Linked DNA regions of Nothobranchius furzeri. The protein of the gene in region 2 interacts with the protein of the main gene of each other region in a pairwise test. Links are inferred from orthologs where the notes say so. Each region holds a gene or a part of one and is shown on either strand. Other genes may lie near its edges.

Region 1 (3,980 bases), on a different chromosome or scaffold from region 2:
TTTAAAGGTAAATTAGTGTGATGGCACCTGGGGTGGCCAATCAGATTCCAAGGGTGGCATGTGCTACCCCAGGCCACTCCCTGGACACGCCTCTGACCAAAACAAAGTAATTCGTGTGCGATCGTTTATATCAGTCCATATTCTCTGGTACTTCATGTACTTTTCAGCTGACTTCATAATCTGTGCCCCGGTGATTTCAACTTATTGCTGCTGGAGCGCAACGAATATTAAGCTTTTTTTAAAAAAATGTTTATTTTATTTTTTTGTGGGTTTGGTAGATCCCTTTGGCTGATTAGTTAGAAAGTAAGAAATTTAGGGAACAGTTTTTCTGGAAGACGGAGAAAACATGCAGCATGCAGGAAGGTTAGAGAGAAAAAGGGCAGGAAATTATTCAAATAAAATCAAGAAAACAAAACAAAGTGCTTCAAAAGAAAAAAGTAGGTAGATTTATCCCCAATACACATTTTTACCAGTGAAAAGCAATAATATATAAGCATTTAATATTTATACATGTGATAGAATCAGATCACCCCAGAAGTCAGTCCCACATCCAGGGCCATATCAAGGCATTTGGGGACCAAGGCAAATATAGGCTTGGAGCCCCCACCATGCTCAGTTAATATAAGATGGCAGCGTGCTGAGAGTACAGATTGTTGTTGCTTTTATTTAATAAACAATAATTTTAAAGCACTGTTATTATATCTGACTGTTTTTAACAGCAACCCTAGCTAGCTCAGACACATCGACATACATATATGGACAATGGGTTTCCATAGACTTGCTCTTGCATTGTGGGGGCTTGCTCAGACACCACATCACTTTCCACATATATGTCATGAGCTCACTGAGCGTCAGATTACCAGATTCATATTGAAGTTGTATTGTTGAAAGTAACTTAAAGTAGTTCAAAAGTAGTTTAATGCCTTACATTTTAAAATCAGTAATATTGTAATGTAATGAATTACTTTAAAATGAGGGTAACAAGTAATAGATAATGCATTACAGTATTGAAGTAACTTGCCCAACACTGATTGTAGTACGCACTTAAGTATTAATTTCATTTTACGTTTAGCTAATATTTAGGGTTTTTTGTGCTTTTCATATTCCTTTAAAAACAAATCTCATTTCCTCCAGAAGGGGGCGCGCGCGTGCAGGTGAAACTGAGCGTGCGTCCGACCGCAGATAAAGAACGGGTGACGTAACCACTTCCACAACAACAAGAAGCTGAGAAACAAGGAAGTGTCAAGCCGTAAGCTATTATAAGGCCGAGACAAGATACACAAAGCGCCGTTTAATCTGATGTTCCTCAGCCTCCGAATCAGTCCACAACAATGAATAACAAAGGTATTTCTCCGTCGTGTGTTTCATTTTCCAGCTAGCTACTCGTTACTTGACGTTGGCGTTGTAAGGAAAGACGAGGAGCTCGCGTTGTGGCCAACTGAAGCTACGTACATAACAATAAACTGACGCACACTCCGAACCAAGCTGTCTTGGATATTGCTAACGTCGGATGTCCGAATTTAGTTTCACATTTTGTTATTTGACCAAAACGGGCCGGTCAGATGTGTTCCAGCAAGCTAACGTGATTATAAAAGCAAATCTGACATGGCTTTCCTGTTTTTGTTGGGGAGGGGGGGAGTTCTTGTTAACAAAGAACATCCCGGTTACATTTATGTTTTTAGACCTGTTCGGCGCAAAAATGCACCAGGTTGTTTATTTCTTCTTTTGTTTGTCTTATTTGAGCTTAGATTGTCTTTTTGTAGCATGACATCTTTGTTCGTGGCTAATGCTAATGACATTTCATGATATTTTTCTTACTGAATTAATTGTTTCACTAAAGCTAAAATAGAAGCAGACATTTTATTCAAACTGTAATGCGCGATGGTCGATTTGTCATGTTGGAAAGACAAAGAAAATGTAAAATTCACATTTGTTTACTAACCACCAGGCTTTTGTGCGTTGTGTTAATCAGATTCGGCTTTATAATAAAATCTTCCATTTACATTTTATTAATTTCTAATCCGTTCACTTGTGTTTTTACAAGTAATACATTTTTACCCTTTGCTTATACTGTCTGGGCTGAGAAAAGTGATTATGTCTAGTTTCCTGGTATTGTTTGCCATACAATGCACTCAAAACAAAACTAGAAACTCTCTTGGCAGTGACAGACTTGCTACAGTCATCACATAGTTTGTTATAATTATGCACAACAGTTTCAGTTGCTTAAATAAATCCCCCCTGATGATATTAAATAACATGTTTCCATCAATATTTAAACATTGTTCTTTCTTTTACTGCCGCCAAATGTTGGACCTAAAGACACTTTGTGTCAAAATCTGGTTTTTGTTCTTTTGTCTGTAAAATGTAGAAACGTTCAAAGTTGTACCCGAAAAAGACCAACGTTAGCTTCAGTATACAAGACATTGGGATTTTCTGTAACGTGTACCACTCAGTAGTTGCGTTCACATCAGTAATAATTTCATGTATTTAGCTGTAAATGTAATCAGCTCCCTCCCATCTCCACTCAGAAGCAGCATCAGTTTATTTATGATGATGATGATGATTGAGAAGAAGTACTTGCAGCTTAATGTTAGTAGTCAAAGTCATTAGTAATAATCAGGGATGTGTATTTTTGTAATTCTGGCGATACGATACATATCACGATACAGGGGAGACGATACGATGTATCCTGATATATTGCGATACATTCAGTCAGACGTTACAAGCTATTTTTTACTGAATTTATTATAAGCATGTTCAATAAACAGTCAAAACTGATATGTAACATGTTTAACATGAGGTATCTGAACCATGATGGAGGGATTTACAGTTCAATGGTGGAAACAAAACCCGTTGCACACTGCTGCCAACTAGCGGGTGGCGATTGAATTGCACAAAACGAAAAGAAAATACACAAATGTTTGCATGTTTGCATTCTTTCAAGAATTAGATACACGGCTTTTGAATATCAATGTAATAATCACAGGGAAAAATATCACGATATATTGCCATATCGATATTTCCTATATGCGGCTTTTGAATATCGATATAATATTGCTGGAAAAATATCGCGATATATTGCCATATCGATATTTCTGATACACAGCTTTTGAATATCGATATAATATTGCTGCGAAAAATATCACGATATATTGCCATATCGATATTTTCTTACATCCCTAGTAATAATGAAACGGTTCTCATCCCATAATTCTTCAGCTGTGCGTGTTTAAAAGTGAAATGTTGTTTTGCAGGCTCATACCCACAGCAGGCTGTGTACCCTCAGCAGAGCTCTGCACCTGTATACCCTCCTGCTATGCAAATGTCTCCTCAGGCACCTCCATACTCAGACACACCACCTGCATATTCTGAGGTAACGCTTGCATCTACAGGTCAAGCCTAGATTAGCTTTTTTTTTTTTTTTAGTATTCTTCAATTAAATCTGTTTCTCGTGTCTTTGTATGCAGATATACCAGCCCAGATACGTGCTTCCACCTCAGGTGCCTGGTCAGGTGCCTCAGATGTCCTCTCCCTACCCTGGTGCTCAGGTGTACATGCCCATGCAGCCACACATGCCCGTTGGTCCGGTGGGCCAGAACGTTCCCATGGCTTACTATCACATGGGAGCTGTTTACCCCCCTGGTTCAACAGTGATGGTGGACGGTGGCTTTGATGCTGGAGCTCGTTTCACAGCTGGCAGCAGTGTTTCCATCCCAGTGAGTACGGAGTGACTTAACCTGTAGCCAAGGCCTTTGTAACTCTTAACCTGCCACTGAGCTCGTTTCTCCTCTTCTCTAGCCCCCACCCCCTGGACACCCCCCTAATGCAGCTCAGCTGGCTGCCATGCAGGGTGCCAATGTTGTCATGACACAGCGCAAGAACAACTTCTTCCTGGGCGGATCCAGTGGAGGTTATACCATCTGGTAACAGCAGCTACTCCCCTCCTTGTTTATGCCTAAACCGTACCCCCGTCCCAGATG
Region 2 (4,642 bases):
AAGGTGATTGAACGTAATGCTCACTAGCAGCACGCCATTTAAATATCGTCACAAGGAATGGAGCAACACTGTGGAGCAACTGTTGACACTTTAAACACTTTGCAATATAAGACAGTCAGTGTTTGAACCCCTAAACATCCAGACTTGGGAGTTGAATGTTTTTGTCTCCATGTTGAAATTAGACCTGGCAAAGTAAATTTACTGAAGTAGAACAAAACAAATACACAGAGTGAGTGAACTCCCTGACGTGTGGACGACACCTGCGTTTAATCGGGACGTGACAAGTGATTTTAATTTGCACGTCTGGAAGGTGAAACCGTTCCAGCTGTCAGAATCTAAAAGTAACAAAAAAATCAGAAGCAGGAAGAAAGAAAATCTCCATCCTACTGAATATTTCATCAGGGGACAGGTGCAACAGGAGGAATAAAATCTTAGACGAGATGAAGATTACTTAAGCATTCTCGCATTAAGACTGTTGCACAAATCAAGGATTAAGTAAAGTAGAATCATAAGAACAATATTTAAAGAGTCGAGTTTAAAAAAAGGGTCTTGCTGAATGATGACTCACCATAGGAGAACGCCCATACGCAGCCACCGCGACTGCAGCTGCAGCGCTCATCTGAGGTGACATGTTGTGCAATCCAGCAGCATAAGCTGCAGCTCCAGCTGCTCCAGCAAGCTCCCCGTTCATCCCTGCTGCGTGGGGCAACATCCCAAACGCACCTGGATACGGACCTGGAACCGCCAGAGGAGTTCTCAAACCTGCAGCTGAAAGAGGAGAGAGGAGTTATCGCTAATCCTTAGGATTCTCTCTGTGGTCAAAGATATGTGAAAGGGAGACTAGGCAGTTTGGACTTGCTTTTAGCACCCCCTAGTGTCCGTTAGTAAAACCAAGAGTGAAACTTATTTCCTCGCTGTGCGTTTGTCTTTTTAACACCTTAATCAAACAGCTGCTATGTCTCCTCAGCCTTCCTTAATGTCAGGAGTGATTCATCAATAAATTAAACAAATCATCGGTGTTCATGATCCAAACATGCAGGAAACGTGCTGGAACTTTATTAAAACTAAAGCCTGACTCATGCTTCTCCGTCTGCGTCGGTGCGGAGACATGCAACATCCTTGCGGGCCTAATCGAGAGCTCTGCAAGGACGGACAGAGTCGAGCTCTCTTTTCTAAACATCCGTCAGTCGAGACGGAGAACGCAAGCTTGTGATTGGTCAAGACGCCGCTGTCATCTACACCGCCGCCATTGCGCCCTCAAAAACATAAAGAGAGCCGAGGATAACTAGCGGCAGACACGGAGAAGCTTGAAGAATACCTCGCGAAAAAACTCTAAAAATATGAACGTTTAATTCCCCCGTGACTGGAGGAGTGAAAAGATGCGCAGCAAGCGTTTTATTTGTGGACGGAAATGACAGGAAATGTGAGTTTAGAGGTGGCGAGCGCATGAACAGGTGGAGGAGGATGAGAGACAAATTTGCCCGTGTTAAAACGTCTCTTATATACAAAAACACACAATATAAACACACTATCTTAGACCGGATACATGACAGCATACCACAGAAGAGCGCTACGCCCTCTGTTGTCCTGGTGGGGAATTGCTTTGTAACACTCCCCAGGAGACGGAGAAGTATGAGAGCAAAACGCTTCCGGCAATCCATACGTGTTTGTCCCTTGCGGAGCTGATGGAGAAGCATGAATCAGGCTTAACAGAGACTGGACCAGCTCTCTAAAGTTGCGAGTGTGATATTCTGGCTACAGGGGGCGGTGGTGTCTGAGGGACATTTCATTGACCTTGTACAGGGTCATTTTTGAACATACTTGCTCAAGAAACTGATTTAAAAAATATGAAAAAGTTGCACAGTATGCCTTTCAAGCACATTTCTAAACAAACAGCAGAAATTACAAGAAAACAGCAGAAATTACAAGAAAGGTTCCTTCAGGGTATCTGCAGGTTTAAAGGAGCCAAATTTAAGACTTTTTAAGACCTTTTTTAAGGCCACTTTGACCAAATTTAAGCTATTTTTAAAATTAAATAAATTTAAGCTATAACTTCCAGCTATTTCCTGGAACCGGTGCTAACCACATCGCAAACGTGGGATTAGCCATCCAGTTACCATAAAACTTCCCCAAGGCGCAAGCTCCCACTAGCTTAACCAGCTAATGTGCTCATCTAAAAATAGCCCCCTTTCACAACCAACTGAATGTGTACGGTTCCGCTTACGCCAACATCGTACACAAAAAATCCTGAACACTAACTAGAAATTCACAAAATTTTTATTGAAATAAAAGAATCTTGTTTAGTGGACCTTTGGGAATTTAAGACCTTTGGAAACTGTATTTAAGGATTATTTGTCATTTTTAAGGATTTTTGAGGCCTTAAATTTTGAAAAGCAAATTTAAGACTTTTTAAGACTTTTTAAGACTTTTTAAGGACCCGCAGATACCCTGTTTCTTTAATATTGAGTATGTTGATTTTTTTTTCCATGGATGTGTAAAAACAAGTTCTTAAGACCAGTTTATGTCAGTTTACATTGTTTAAACAAAGACATTTCACAAAGTGTACAAACAAAATTATTGAATTATTTCTAATTCCCCACCCAAAAATATAGCCATGTTAAGCTCGTGTATAGACATACTGGGCGGATGTGGTATCTCCATAGATGGGGGTTTTGATAGACTGGGTCGGATTCCAGGTGTGGAGCTTGGACCAGGGGTGGAGTCACCTCTAGGTGTGGGGGTGCTTGACTTTAGACCTGGTGTACCTGCCTTTTCTCGCTGCCACACAGAAAAATTCACAAGCATTGTGTCACTATTAAATATTTTAATGGATCTGTCCGACTATAGGCTGAGACGGATTTCTACCATGGTCATCTCTTTGGATTTGAGAGAGGAGGAGCTGGCTGATGAGGCAGTAGACGCTGGACTACAGGGGTCCTTCTTCAGGAGACGTGCTTTATCCAAGCCATTTTCTCTAGGGGAGGCAAGAGGTGTCCCCCGGGGGGAGGCTGCGTCCTGGTGGGTAAATAAACAACGTGAATGACCTGACAACAAAACTGCAAGATTACAGAGAAATTAAGTCATACCACCTTCAGAAAAGATAGCATTCAAAGAATCCAGCCATTATTAGACACTGACCTCATTTGACACGTCCACCACCAGGTTATCATCACTTTTTTCTCCATCACTGTCCTAAAAGTCAATTAAACCACAAAAGACACGTTCACATTTAAATATTAGTATTTGGAAGGGGAAAAAAGGAAAAATAAAACTAAGAACTATATCGTACATAGTGGCTAGAGTCTTTGTCGTCCACTTTGCGTTTCTTGGTGTCGTTTGTGAGGTCGGGACCATTGCGTCGCTTATCAAAGTTCCTGAGACTTTCCGGTAACAGCGAGTTACTCTGTAGAAGGAGAGATGAGTGTTGTAGCAAGAAAAGAGGAGAAGGAACAGATTAGTAGACAAAAGAAAACCATTTCATAATGGGGCACTTATACATTTGATTGCATTTTGCTGAGTGTACGTTGTCCATGAGTTTGCTCAACCACCAGATCAATAATTACAAGAGCTCCTCAGCTGTGTGTGGAGCAGGTTAGAAAAACAGACCCTTGCTCACATATGGGTTAACAGTTCAGCATGTATTTAGCAGCGCTAACACTTACAGCAGCCTCTTTTCTCACTTGACCAAAGCCAGTCAGAGTCAAACACAAACACATGCCTCTGAAGCTGATGATTACATTAAGTGGCTCTCAAAATCTATCAGTGCTCCCTCTCCTGGCTCTGACAAGCTCCAGTGTGTGTGTGTGTGTGTGTGTGTGTGTGTGTGTGTGTGTGTGTGTGTGTGTGTGTGTGTGTGTGTGTGTGTGTGTGTGTGCGTGTGTGTGTGTAATTGACTGTGAAAGCATGTGTGTACTACTGAGTGTGTAAGAGATTGTGTATTACTTGCATAACATTCCAGTGTCCCTCTGTGTCCCAAGACTACACACATGCTTGTAAAGGTGCATGAATGCACACACTGACTCTGTCTCTCCCTCTCTCAGACAGACACACACACACACACACACACACACACACACACGCACGCACGCACGCACGCACGCACACGCACACAGAATAGGATTTGCTGGCCTCCTGACCAAAGGATCCTATTGTTAATGGATTAAGGCCTCATGTTGAGTCCATTATAGTTTCAGCCTGTCAATGAAATGTGCATCCAACATACACATGCACACATATGGGGAGAGAGAGAGAAAGAGAGAGAGCACTTTGAGGGGGAAAGGGTAAATGAAGGGGAATCAACTAGGAGAGATGGGTAGGGAGGAAGGGGTGAGAAAAAAAGGAGGAAAGGGGGGAGATTAGATTAGAGGAGGGAAGATGGAAAGAGAGTGTGAGAGTATGGAGGAAAAGAAAGGTTGACATGAGACAAGAGGGGGAGCAAAGGAGAGGGAGGACTGCCAAGGCCCCTTCCTTCAGCCGCCCTCCCTCTCCCCAGCCCTCTTCACCTCCTCCTCCCCTTTTATTGAAAGGTTTTAGTGAGCTGAGAGCAGAAGCACTGACCCGCAAAACATAAGCACCCCCACCTCCATGCTGTCGTTGCCCCCTGTTCATTTTCAGCATGGTGTCTCAAACACACACACACATA
Region 3 (4,179 bases), on a different chromosome or scaffold from region 2:
CCGAGAAGGCGCAGACTTGTGCGCCTGCGGCTCCCCGCCGGTGCAATCCCAAATCCTCAAACACAGAAAGCTTTTTTCTCATGATCTCATTTCCAAGTTAAGCAGACTCTGTTAGTCCCTCGTCAACACGACAGGTTTACTCGCCTTTACTAATGGGGCTCTGTACTGATAGTTATGCTCCTGCGTAAATATGCAGTCAAATAGATGTACAACCACCGACACGTGGCTGACACCGCTCCGCAGCCTCACCTGGATGTTTGTTTCATACAAATACTGTACGCGCGGCGCTAGTCAGGGGCCCTTTTAGCGCCCCGGTTCTCCTGAGCCTCTTTAACAGAAAAAAGATAAACAGATTATACAAACGTTGTTGTTTAAAGTGACTCTTAAACCAATAGAAACAAAATCGTGTCTGCAAATGGGGAAACAAACGACCAAATGAAGAAGTTGGATATTGATGTTAATATGCCTTAATTAAATATTTTTATCAATTCACATTTTCTTGCTTATATGGTTTGCCACAAATTCATTAAAATTGCACACACACCTTTATTTTAGCGTTTGAAATAAAACGAGCAGCCTTGCATGAAAGAGCAATGCCAGTAACGTCCAACAGAGGGCGCTCTGAAGCTGCACGTGCGTTGCAAATAAATTTACCCAATTAAAAAAGATAAAACATTAATTCAGTAATTCAAGTGGAAAAACCGATTCATTTTTAGAGTTTTTATGGAATTTTACTGTTGATAATTTAAAGAAAATATCACATAAATTCAGTTTTGACTTTAGAATTGAACATTTTGAAGATTAATATTTACATGTATATATTTGTATTTTGCATTATTTGACTTTTAATATTATAAAAATAACATTTAATCAAACTCTAATCCCTATCTTCTTCTTATAAAACCTTTGTTTTTTATTTTTAAATTGAAAATCTAACATTTTAGTAATTTGTAATGGATAATTTATCCCCTTTCTCCTAAAACAAAGTAAAATTTATAAACATCTGTTTAGTTTCACTAAAATCACCCCTGTATTAACTTATGTCGATCTGAATAAAAGAATAAACTTACAGGATAAGATCATAAATGTTTTTAACAATAAAAACGGATTATGATCTGAGTGCAGATGAGTGGAGTCAGGTCGTTGGAGGATGTGCGTAAAAGCGCACAGAGGAAGGGTGCCAAGCATTCCTTTTATAGTTCCTCTTTTTTTACTCCCCTACAATAAGATCAGTTTTATAATGAAGCTTTTCATATGAAACTGTTCTTTTCAGTGCGCGCAGGTGTACCATTGGGTTGGTGGTGGGTGGTGGTGATGGTGGAGGTGGGGTGGGGGAGAAGCTTGAGGAGTCTCACGCCTAGGTGCGAGGAGATTATTCAAATAGGGCCCAAGGCGTAGAAGTAGGGATTGGAGGCTTGCCTGGTGCACAGAGCTATATCACAGCGTTAACAAGCAGCGCGTCATTTGGACTCCAGTCACTGACAGGCGCATCACGGCTGCCTCCCAGCGACACACATGCACCAGTTCTCCACGAAGGGACACAACGACAACCCACACGCACTCAGTGGTCCCTAGTCGCTTGTTATTAGAGAGACACTTTTGGCTTTTCCTCTGCTGGGAGACGCTTTGTGAAAGTCCTCCATGATGCTTGGAGCAGTTAAAATGGAAGGACACGAACACACCGACTGGAGCACCTACTACGGAGAGCCTGAGGTGGGTACCTTAAATATATATTTTTCCCGTCTAAAGCCGATCCCATTTTATACAACTCAATATTAGCCCTGAGATAATATTAACTTTGTGATCAAATATTGACTTGAGGCGCCTCCAAATCCTCCCCCATCTCCACGCAGCGCGCTATTAAAGTTGCCTGACATGTAGTAAGGAGGGGGAAACTTCTCACTCGGATAATGAATCAGATTATTTATTTATATTTTCTTTAAATAAACACGTGTGGTGTTTGATTTTTAGGGATGAGGGCTCCAGTTTTCGTAAAGGAGGCGTTTCATGTGCGGAATTTAAAGGGATCGCGCGTTTCAGAGGATTATTTACCACATTATTTGTCATCATATTCATAAATATTTGTTATTTTTTGATTACACGCTCCTCCATTTTTACATGGCATAAACTTCAAACAGCTGATTTATTAATTTTTTGTTAAATATTACAACAATGTTAAGGAATTATTACAGCAGGTGTTTTCTTTGCCAAACTCATGGATGTGCTTTCCCTTCTCTGACAGTGTTACACCTCTGTTGGCAACATGAACACAGGCCTGGGAATGAACTCTATGAATACCTACATGAGCATGTCCGGAATGAGCACCACGGCCAACATGACGGCCAACTCCATGAACATGTCCTACGTCAACACCGGCATGAGTCCCTCCATGACCGGCATGTCGCCGGGCACCGGGGCCATGAACGGCATGGGCGCAGGCATGACGGCCATGAGCGCAGCTCTGAGCCCCAGCATGAGTCCCATGACCGCGCAGCCCGCGTCCATGAACGCCCTCACGTCCTACACCAACATGAACGCGATGAGCCCCATTTACGGACAGTCCAACATCAACAGATCCAGAGATCCCAAGACTTACCGCAGGAGCTACACGCACGCCAAACCCCCCTATTCCTACATTTCTCTCATCACCATGGCCATCCAGCAGTCTCCCAGTAAGATGCTCACACTGGCTGAGATCTACCAGTGGATAATGGACCTGTTCCCCTTTTACCGACAGAACCAGCAGCGCTGGCAGAACTCCATCCGCCACTCTTTGTCATTCAACGACTGTTTCCTGAAAGTGCCCAGGTCTCCGGATAAACCCGGAAAGGGTTCATTTTGGACTCTCCACCCAGACTCCGGGAACATGTTTGAGAACGGCTGCTACTTGAGGAGGCAGAAGCGCTTCAAGTGTGAGAAGAAGACGGCCATGAAGGATCCCGGGCGCAAAGGGGGAGACGGGGCATCATCTAACTCCAGCTCAGAGAGCTGCAACGGAAACGAGTCCCCGCACTCCAACTCCTCCTCCGCAGACCACAAACGGTCCCTGTCAGACATGAAGGCGAGTCAGGCCCTGAGCCCGGAGCACGCCGCCGCCTCCCCGGTGTCTCAGGGCCAGCACCTCATGTCGCAGCATCACTCTGTCCTGGCGCACGAAGCGCACCTGAAGCCGGAGCACCACTACTCATTCAACCACCCCTTCTCCATCAATAACCTCATGTCTTCGGAGCAGCAGCACCACAAAATGGACCTTAAGACTTACGAGCAGGTGATGCACTACTCTGGGTACGGCTCCCCCATGGCCGGGGCGCTTTCTATGGGCCCAATGACGGGAAAAGCCGGGCTGGATTCTGCGTCTATACCTGACGCGTCTTACTATCAAGGCGTCTATTCAAGGCCAATCATGAACTCCTCATAAACATTCTGCATGTTGGACTTTTTTCCTTGTTTTATTTGTATATTTGTAAAAACAAATCAACACCAACAACATCAGAAACAAACAAAAAATATAGACTTTGTGTACAAAATTGTATTTCAGATATTTTGACGTTTCCCACCGTTTTAGTTGTCAAGTTTATTAGTAGCCTGTTTATTTTGAGGAAGAATGTTGATTATTAAAAAAATCAAATAATAATAATAACATCAACAACGTGACAAGGAATGGACCCCAAAGACACACAACAACTTGCTGTAAGATAGCTTATTTCCGCTTTACGGTATTCCTAAATGACTTTAAACGCATCACAGGATTTGTTCAATCATTTGTGTAATTCCTATTTATGGCTTGTATATGTGTATTTCTTGTAGTGACAAGAACAGAATCTATATTAAAGTGTTATTGGTTTTGTTTTCTGAATATGATGGTGTTTTATTATTATTATTATTTTAATTATTATTATTATATTAGGTTTTTGCTTCGCCATTTTAGTGCTAACTCAAATTCAGTTCCACACAAGCAGAAAATTATGTTATTTTCAATAAATTTTATTAAATAAACACTTCAAATAACAATGATAAATTTAAAGGAAAAAAGTACAAACAAATATTAAATAAACAGTAATTGACTCCCACATTCATGTAATAACTTAGTGGAAATTTCCAATTTTCTGGTATAAATACTAGATATTTATGGGTTTATTTGTTTTAAATTATGGAATTTATTCTCATCCACGCGCTTTT

The links.
Region 1: the proteins of transducin-like enhancer protein 1 (region 2) and dazap2 interact in binary tests that used the Homo sapiens proteins (3 or more experiments, as listed by UniProt). The link is inferred for Nothobranchius furzeri from reciprocal best matches to the Homo sapiens genes TLE1 and DAZAP2.
Region 3: the proteins of transducin-like enhancer protein 1 (region 2) and foxa2 interact in a two-hybrid assay, tested with the Homo sapiens proteins (2 studies listed by BioGRID and IntAct). The link is inferred for Nothobranchius furzeri from reciprocal best matches to the Homo sapiens genes TLE1 and FOXA2.

What each region holds. Positions count from the first base shown.
Region 1 is NC_091755.1:37,294,029-37,298,008, reverse strand, and holds the start of dazap2 (DAZ-associated protein 2), read left to right. Parts: upstream 1-1,180; 5' UTR 1,181-1,331; coding exon 1,332-1,344; intron 1,345-3,254; coding exon 3,255-3,373; intron 3,374-3,467; coding exon 3,468-3,716; intron 3,717-3,798; coding exon 3,799-3,927; 3' UTR 3,928-3,980. UniProt on the Homo sapiens protein: In unstressed cells, promotes SIAH1-mediated polyubiquitination and degradation of the serine/threonine-protein kinase HIPK2, probably by acting as a loading factor that potentiates complex formation between HIPK2 and ubiquitin ligase SIAH1.
Region 2 is NC_091757.1:48,832,050-48,836,691, forward strand, and holds part of transducin-like enhancer protein 1, read right to left. Parts: intron 3,404-4,642; coding exon 3,290-3,403; intron 3,193-3,289; coding exon 3,139-3,192; intron 3,016-3,138; coding exon 2,866-3,015; intron 2,779-2,865; coding exon 2,640-2,778; intron 769-2,639; coding exon 569-768; intron 1-568. UniProt on the Homo sapiens protein: Transcriptional corepressor that binds to a number of transcription factors. Inhibits NF-kappa-B-regulated gene expression. Inhibits the transcriptional activation mediated by FOXA2, and by CTNNB1 and TCF family members in Wnt signaling.
Region 3 is NC_091758.1:36,350,852-36,355,030, reverse strand, and holds foxa2 (forkhead box protein A2), read left to right. Parts: upstream 1-1,379; 5' UTR 1,380-1,641; coding exon 1,642-1,713; intron 1,714-2,242; coding exon 2,243-3,418; 3' UTR 3,419-3,856; downstream 3,857-4,179. UniProt on the Homo sapiens protein: Transcription factor that is involved in embryonic development, establishment of tissue-specific gene expression and regulation of gene expression in differentiated tissues.